Linked DNA regions of Arabidopsis thaliana. The protein of the gene in region 1 binds, or shares a complex with, the protein of each later gene. Each region holds a gene or a part of one and is shown in the gene's direction. Other genes may lie near its edges.

The links. The genes of interacting proteins can lie anywhere in the genome.
Region 2: emb1473 (region 1) and PSRP5 share a complex: the UniProt entries of both Arabidopsis thaliana proteins name them as parts of the 50S ribosomal subunit.

What each region holds. Positions count from the first base shown.
Region 1 is NC_003070.9:29,574,251-29,577,850, forward strand, and holds the start of emb1473 (Ribosomal protein L13 family protein), read left to right. Parts: upstream 1-1,555; 5' UTR 1,556-1,746; coding exon 1,747-1,998; intron 1,999-2,306; coding exon 2,307-2,492; intron 2,493-2,692; coding exon 2,693-2,863; intron 2,864-3,039; coding exon 3,040-3,156; 3' UTR 3,157-3,600. Other genes in the region: AT1G78620 (integral membrane protein (Protein of unknown function DUF92, transmembrane)), read right to left, coding at 1-93, 207-330, 478-731, 1,059-1,508.
Region 2 is NC_003074.8:21,068,911-21,073,380, reverse strand, and holds PSRP5 (plastid-specific 50S ribosomal protein 5), read left to right. Parts: upstream 1-3,024; 5' UTR 3,025-3,123; coding exon 3,124-3,220; intron 3,221-3,473; coding exon 3,474-3,823; 3' UTR 3,824-3,970; downstream 3,971-4,470. Other genes in the region: AT3G56920 (DHHC-type zinc finger family protein), read right to left, coding at 940-1,191, 1,268-1,489, 1,580-1,885, 1,983-2,162, 2,491-2,547; AT3G56900 (Transducin/WD40 repeat-like superfamily protein), read right to left, coding at 4,038-4,100, 4,198-4,285, 4,391-4,470.

The sequences.
Region 1 (3,600 bases):
TTCTTTGTCTTGAAAAGAAGCACCTATTATGCTCTCTCCAAGATTGGCAATCTGGGAAGCTAGTACACATACAGCTGCTTCTGGAGGAGTTATCTGTGTTCAAGATATCAAAAGGAAAAGAAGTTTAAAAATCGTGTAATGATAACAGTCTTTAGTAGCATAAAGAAGCTGTGAAGGGAAATTTTGGTAGCAAATAACACTATTACCTGACCCAGGAAGCAGCCAACAGATGCAAGAAAAAATGATGCTAAAAGTCCAGCCAATGTTCCTTCAAGACTCATAGCTCCCTCTGTTCCTCTTGGTACAATCTTAAATGTCGTAGCTAAATACCTGCGAATTGGCAATGGTTAGTAAGATCATTTCAGTTGTCGATTGGATTCATGTCATGACACCACAAGTCCATGCCATACATCAGACAGAAAACAGACACAGACCATAACAGAAGAGGCTATAGCTGGATAACAGTAGCATACTCACGTTGTTTTTCCATAAGCTTTGCCTATCTCGCTCGAGACAGTGTCAGATACTTTAGTGCAGAAACTGGAAACAAAACCAAGCCGGAAAAGCTGGGAAAAAGCTGCTCCTCCCACTTGATATATTGAAAGAAAAGCACAGACACAACCAGCAGCACTTGAACCAATCACACTGCGTGGTCCTCTTCTACCCTTTCTCTTTTCGGCCACACCTTGTGCTTCCTTTTGCGTCATTTTAACCTTCGTTGCCGCTGTTCCCTGTGATATTGTAAATCATCTAAACCAACTTCAGCGCCAGAATCAATTGCAAATTTACTGTTACTATTTCCAGCTCTGGGGTGAAACACGATATTGAAATCTAAAACTTAAAGCATTGCAGAGAAAAGACTAAGTATCTCAATGTTGAGCATGATCAGAAAAAGTAGCTCCTTAATCTGTAAACGTGATTTAGGATCTCTAACACGTCCACAATTCCTAAATTAAACAATAACACATCTAAAATCTAAGGACATTCTTCATTCATCAGCTCGAAATCAAAATCAAAGCAGCGAATTTCTACGTTCTAAGAGTCAGTTACCGAATTACATTCAGGTTGATCACAAATGCACTTACTATGACGAAGTAAGCAGCGACTAAGAGGAAACCAGCAGAGCCATAAGCTCTCCAAGTTAAAGTACCAAGCAAAAACGCGGCGGCGATCCCAGAAGCGGACAATCCGGTAACAAGAAGCGGTGAACCGAGAACAAAAATCAATAAATTGTTAGCCACAGCTGATTTCCAAGTTGGTGACGCCGATTGAATCAGTTTCATCGCCTCCGTCATCACTCCTTCCATCGATGCAGCCGCCGCCGTAGCACCGTCGGCTCTACTTCCCGACGAAAGCATTCCGTTGGAAAGTGGTTCCAGATTACGTCGTCCAAATCTGTAAGATCTAGCGAATGGAGAGGAAGAAGAAAATCCCGAGAATTTTGGGAATCTTAGTGGTAAAGCTGATCTAGAAGAATTTAAGAGTAGAGTTGACGAAATCGTTGCCATGACTTAGCTTGCTTCCGAAGAAGACCTTTCTCTCCTATTGAGAAAAAAAAAACAGTATTTCGGGTTGAATCCGGAGCTCCGAAAAAAACCCGGATCCTTAACCCGTGTTGTGTTTATTTTTCGGTCGTATTCATCAGATTATTTACGGTGTTGCCACTACTACTATTTACTGAGAACCCAATCTTATCCGAGAAATCGGAAAGAGCAGAAGAAATTTGCAGAAGAGAGAAAAACAAAAATGGCGGTTCTTTGCTCGTCTTCGACGGTGATACTCTCTTCTTCTTCCGTGAAATCCTCCGGAAGTGAGAGAAAGTCTCCGTTTTTAGGGTTCTCTTTAACGGCTATCTCGAAGCCGTCGGTACGAGTCGGCATTTATGCGAATTCGAAAAGAGGATTGCAAGTGAAGTGTGAAGCTGAGCCGACGACGACGACTTCTCTTGTTCCGGCGAATCAACGATGGATGTTCGACGAAGAAGAAGCTAATGGCCCTGTAACGATAATTTTTCTATCTCCCTCTGTGTTTAGCATCTACGCATTTATAAAGTGTCGCACTTTAGCTCTTGCTTTGAATTTGAAGTATGGCTTGTTTTTTTCTTCTCCCAATTGCGATTTATTAAGTAGTGGATTTTGCCTTTGACTCATTAGCTGTGTTGTCTGCATCAATTGGCTTCGAAAATTGATGTTTATTCTTCTGAATTTGTTAACTTGGACGTTTTATGAAATTATTAATGTTTGGTTGGAGAGAAGTTAAAAGTCTTTGGCTTGAAACCTTTATTGAGTGTATTCTATGGTTTACAGGACATCTGGAACACGACATGGTATCCAAAAGCTTCAGACCATGTGAACACGGACAAGCCCTGGTTTGTGGTTGATGCAACTGACAAAATTCTTGGTAGATTGGCATCGACAATTGCTAATCACATCCGTGGGAAGAATCTTGCCTCTTACACTCCTAGTGTCGACATGGGAGCTTTTGTGATTGTGGTATGAGTTTCTTTGAGCTATCTGTAGAGAATAAGAAATTTGATGTGCTGCTTTAGTTAATTTCTTCCTGAAGGAGGAGCCTTGGGATTTGGTTTTAGTAAGATTCACATTAGCAGCAAGATGTAGAGCCTCTATGTAGATGTTTGGGCAATGCTTGTAACTTGGTACCTCTAATACTGTTTTCAATTGTTTGGTTAAAGGTGAATGCTGAGAAAGTTGCTGTATCTGGAAAGAAGCGTAACCAAAAGCTGTACAGGAGGCATTCAGGACGACCTGGTGGTATGACAGTAGAGACATTTGATCAATTGCAGCAGAGAATTCCTGAAAGAATCGTTGAGCATGCTGTTCGTGGAATGCTTCCAAAGGGACGGGTTAGATACATAATCCACAGCTCTTTATTAGTCTCCTTTAAGTCTTAACACTTAGCAAATCCGTGTTTCTTCAAACTTATGGATTGAACTTGGAAACTACTTGTTGCGATATTGGTATTGATTGATTACTAGTTTTCCAACTCCCTCTTAACTTTGGTCTGACCATTTTGTGGCAGCTTGGGAGAGCTCTGTTCAATCACCTGAAGGTGTACAAAGGCCCTGACCATCCTCACGAGGCCCAGAAACCGCTTGATCTGCCTATCAGGGACAAGAGAATACAGCTGCAAAAATAGAAGCTCCACCACTGTTCCATTATCGCCAAGCGCAGAGAGTTTTTTCTTCTCAGGTTTCTGTAGTTTCTTCATCCCAAAACCAGAGGAGGCTTTACAGATTCTTGTTTTCGCTTCTATCAACTCTGTTATGCTACAAAACTTTCTAATTTGAAATATTTCTCGTTATTTTTTTTTGCTACTGAATATCTTCTTCAACATGAAAAAGATGACATGTAATGAATACAAATGCCATAAGCAACAGTAGTCACCATTAACAAAAACTTCCTCTTCAATTGGTAACAAACCTTCCCAATGAGATCACAGATGCAAGGAAAATCTAATATTCATGCCTTAATCGAGTCATTACTTAAAACTGAAATTTTTAATGCTGGATCCAAAATTTGAATGTTAAATATACATAATAATAGGAAATACAATTTGAATGTTTGGAATCGCTAACGACTA
Region 2 (4,470 bases), on another chromosome or scaffold:
GGACAATGTATGTAATTAGGACAAGTGATTACGCTAATAGGAGGATGTCTGTTCGAACTAAGAAGGAATAATTTCTTGTTTAACTTAGATTTTTATTACTTAAAAATATTGTTATTTCATTGGTCGGCCAACTATATCTATAAATATTATTAGATAAATAGAATGATGCAACAATGAGCTGGTGAAGCCAAGTCAAATCATCTCTCAATCAAACGTGCTTCACACCTAGATTTTTTCCATCATTTGTGTTTTTCTTCATCTTCTTTCTTCTTTTCCTTTTATAAATGCTTCACTTCTTCGATTATTTTTGTAATTAGTTTGTTCTATGAATGCTTTCAGCAAAAAAAAAGAAGAAGAAGAAGTCAATTTGATTAAAGATCTCACAAAAATAAGATGAGATATTATTGTTATATATGTATATAGCTTTTGCTCAATTGGTAAAGTATTTTGAGCTTTTTTATATATAGAAATAGAATATTAAACATATCAACGAATCATCATCATCTCTTCACATCCCTCTGTCTCTTTGTTTTCTCTATTGGCAAATTTTTCTTCTTTTCTTATAAACCCCTTACCGTAAGACCTAAGAAACACTATACATTATATGAACCCTAAAAAGAAAGATGGAGACAATAATAAACACCAAATTGAATTACCTGTAACGCAAGAAACGATTATTTATGTACACCAATTCTCCTAATTCCTATTCTTAATGGGAAAAAGTTTAAAACTCATCTTGACGAGTAAAGAGAGAAAGAGAGCTACATGGCTTTGAATTACAAAAGTAGATTTTACACCTGTTTGTCCTTTACTTTGGCCTATCTTGATCTCACTTCCACGCTCGAGCTTCTCCTTGTTTTCCGCTGGTTCTTGGTAGACCAAAGCAGTCGTTGTGGCGTCTTCATCCATACTTATCTCTTGACAGCCGTGCCACCGTTGTTACCGTTCTCTAGCTTCGGAATCAGACTTTCCACTGCTCATTTTCGTGTCTTTTGGACCAAAGGCTCTGACTAGCTCAGAGGCTATGGATCCAACCTCCACATCGTCTTCTTCTTCTGGCGACCAATCTCTGAAATTGATCAAAGGTGGTGGAATTTTTGCAAAGAATAGCTCCTTGAAGTTCTCTAAGATCCCCTTTCGGTAAGGGTTTTCCTTCTTGTCGTAATGGTACCGAAAATTCTCACAAGTCGTCTGCAAAACATAACAAGAGAATCAGACCAACAGTAAAAGCTACTTGGAAACTACGTTAAAAGCTAAAGAATCTTGCCTGGTTGGTGCAGATAAGGTAGAAGTGGAAGACAGTAAGTCCACCAACAAACCAAACGGAAACAAAGCAGTAGAGACCAAGAACACCTAATATTAAGTCATCAGCGAGAACAACATAGAATTCCCCATGGACTTTAAGCATGCTGACCCATGAGAAGACGAAAACGTAGATGCAGAGGAGTGTTGAACATGATAAGAAACAGACGAAGAATGGATAGTTACGCTGCAAAACAAAAGCCCGTAGATAACATATCAACTCATAGATCTTACTCAGTTCTTTGTCTAGGAAGTGAGAATTAATAGTAAGACTTACCAAGGCGATGCACTGACCAACCCAAGGACAGTGATGATCAAACCTTTGGACACAGTTATTGCAGATTGAGCAGTGAAAGGCACGAGGAGGACGATATAGCTGACAGGTATCGCAAAACTTCACTTTGACAGTGAAGCCATTCACCATTACATCTTTTGTTCGAGGTAGTTTCACACTTCCTAATTTGCTAGTCACCCATTCTGTCGATTGGGTGGTAACATCAGGAATCTCTGCCTCAGACACTTGTTTGTTCCTTGGGATAATCCCGGGGTCTCTCGATGATGTCAAGAAGAGAAAAGTGAAAGCCTAGATAAAAAGTAAGACGTAAGAAGATGCATGAATTTGGCTTAAGGTATGACTTGGCTTATGAAAGTAAGTAAATAGCAAAGCTTTATAGTTATACCATGAATGTGAGAAGAATTGCACCAATCAAAGTAAGAGAATGAAAGAAAGGGTGACGATGGCTTATCAAATAAGCCATCCTGATGGAGAAAGCGATAGCTGGCCCTCCTATCATACATGTGGTCAAAAGAAGTGACGATGCATCTGGACCAAACACTAGTCTTCCCCCACAGTAAAATTTCTGAAACACGAAAACAAATTGAGAAACTCCACTTCAGATGATGATTTCATATAGACAGAAGCTAGGATCTTGCTTTTGCTAAAATCATGTGTGAAACAATACACATAAAAATCTTAGACTATTTCCATTGAGAGAATCTTAAAAGCTCATGTTCTTCAAACTTTAGCACAGAGAGAAGCAGAGCATATATTAGTAACAAAATCAATTCCGAGCATCTTGAGGTATTTTCCTCATTCATGATTCTTATCTTCCAAAGTTAAAATCCTATAAAAATCCACAATGCGGTTTTAAAAATGTAAATTTGCTGTCAAATCATCAGAAGTCTTACATTTTTGGCGGGCCAAACTTGATAGATCCTTTGTCGTTCAAGATTCTGAGAAGACATAACGTTTTTCTTCGGGGAATGAAACTCAGAAATGTTATTCGCTTTGTTTCCAGTCTCAGAATCCGCGGCTAGACACGTCCTACAGCTCCATATCCAAGTTTCCTCAATTCACAGCCAAGCGAATGAAACCGGCGATATCCAAATCGTGCCGCCGATTGTGCGGATTTTGTTCTCCTTTCGTCTTCTGATTATGGTTTCTGTTTGATAGATTTGTTTCTTTCTCTCTCTCTCCCTTTCTCCATAGATTTGTCCTCCGCCATTGGAAGTTGCTCAAAACACCAACCAACATCATTCTCTGGAACAACCTTAACTTAGCCTTTCTCCCGCCAATCACACACTGGGACAGCCACGTGTCAACTCACAGTTCTATAAAAAGTACCCACTCCGGTTTATCTATTCAACCCGAATCAGGAAAAAGAAGCCGGTTCGTTTGATAATTTCTGTATTTAATTAAACCGGATTGAGCCGGATCAATCCAATCCGTTCGTTAAGAAGACACAGACAGAGAGAAGGAGAAAAAGCTTATCCACTATCAAATGAAAGTCTGAAGACAAATTCTTCCATTAGAAGAAGAAGATGGCTCTTCTCTGCTTCAATTCTCTCCCTTCTCTCTCTTCTCTTTCTTCTTCTTCTTCCTCGCGCCTTCTTCAATCTCCGTCTTTCGCTTCTCCAGGTAATGTCTTGTCACTCGTTTCTAGTCTTGACATTTCGCTTTTGCTTCGTTTTGTCGTGGAATTGTATCGGGAAAAAAAAAAAAACAATAGAGACCCATGGAACCAAATTGAAGCTCCTGGGCTAGTTCAATTTCTTGATTGTCCCAAAAAAGTGAAGTTTTGTTTTAGGGCAGTCAGGTTTTAAGCTTAAAGATCGAAGCATTTAATCGAACACTTGGTTTACTTGTAATGCTCTAATCTTTTGTGTTTCAGTTTTGAGCCTTAAACCCAACGCTGTCGAGTCCAAGAACAGAGTCTCTCTCAGTGCTTACAGCTTGAACTCTAGCCATGGAAGAATTGTGGTGAAGGCGGCTGCTTCTGGCGTGGACGGGGCTGAGCCTGAGAGCAAGGAGGAACCAAAGACTGTTGTTGCTGCTGTTCCAGTGGATAAACTACCGTTGGAATCGAAAGAAGCTAAAGAGAAACTGCTCTTGGAATTGAGGCTGAAGATGAAGCTGGCCAAAAAGATTAGGCTACGCAGGAAACGTCTGGTTCGTAAGCGTAAGATGAGGAAGAAGGGTCGATGGCCACCTTCCAAGATGAAGAAAAACAAGAATGTCTAAGTGACTCAACTGTTTGCTGCTTTTCGTATTCGTTTTTTGTAATGTTCTTTTTGGTGTTCAAAGACCATTAATGTACTTCAAATGCAACCATTGTTTTTGGATTTAACTTCAAAGCTGAGTTCTTTAAAGAAACCATTTGTATACAAAGAGTGAGCAGTCTACAAAATAGAACCAAAAAGTTTGAAACTTGCATTAAATTTGAACCATTTGGCTATTAAGGAAGAACATGTGAGCGGAAGATGAGAGGATAGGTGCAACAGAATCCGGTGCTCCAACACTGCAACAAGGTTTATTTGGAAGATTAATTAACTAACCGATTCTACCTGTATGAATACTTTGGCATGAAAAGAGACTTAATCAAGCATATGCCTTACCACAGAAAGGAGTGGACCTTGCTTGAACTTGTCATGGAATGAAAAGGAGAGAGCTTTCGGGTTTTCTCCAGGTCCTCTGATGAAACCGCTGTAATCATAAAAGCATCAGATTTTGTCTATCCATTTAGACAATGCAAAGATATACAAAAGGAGGTCAAGTCCGATGGAATGGATAACAGTAAGAGTTACTTACACTAGTGATGCTGATACAATAGGTGTCCTTCGTGTGTCGTAGATGGCAATCAATCCTTTGTAATTTTCATCGCCTCCTTT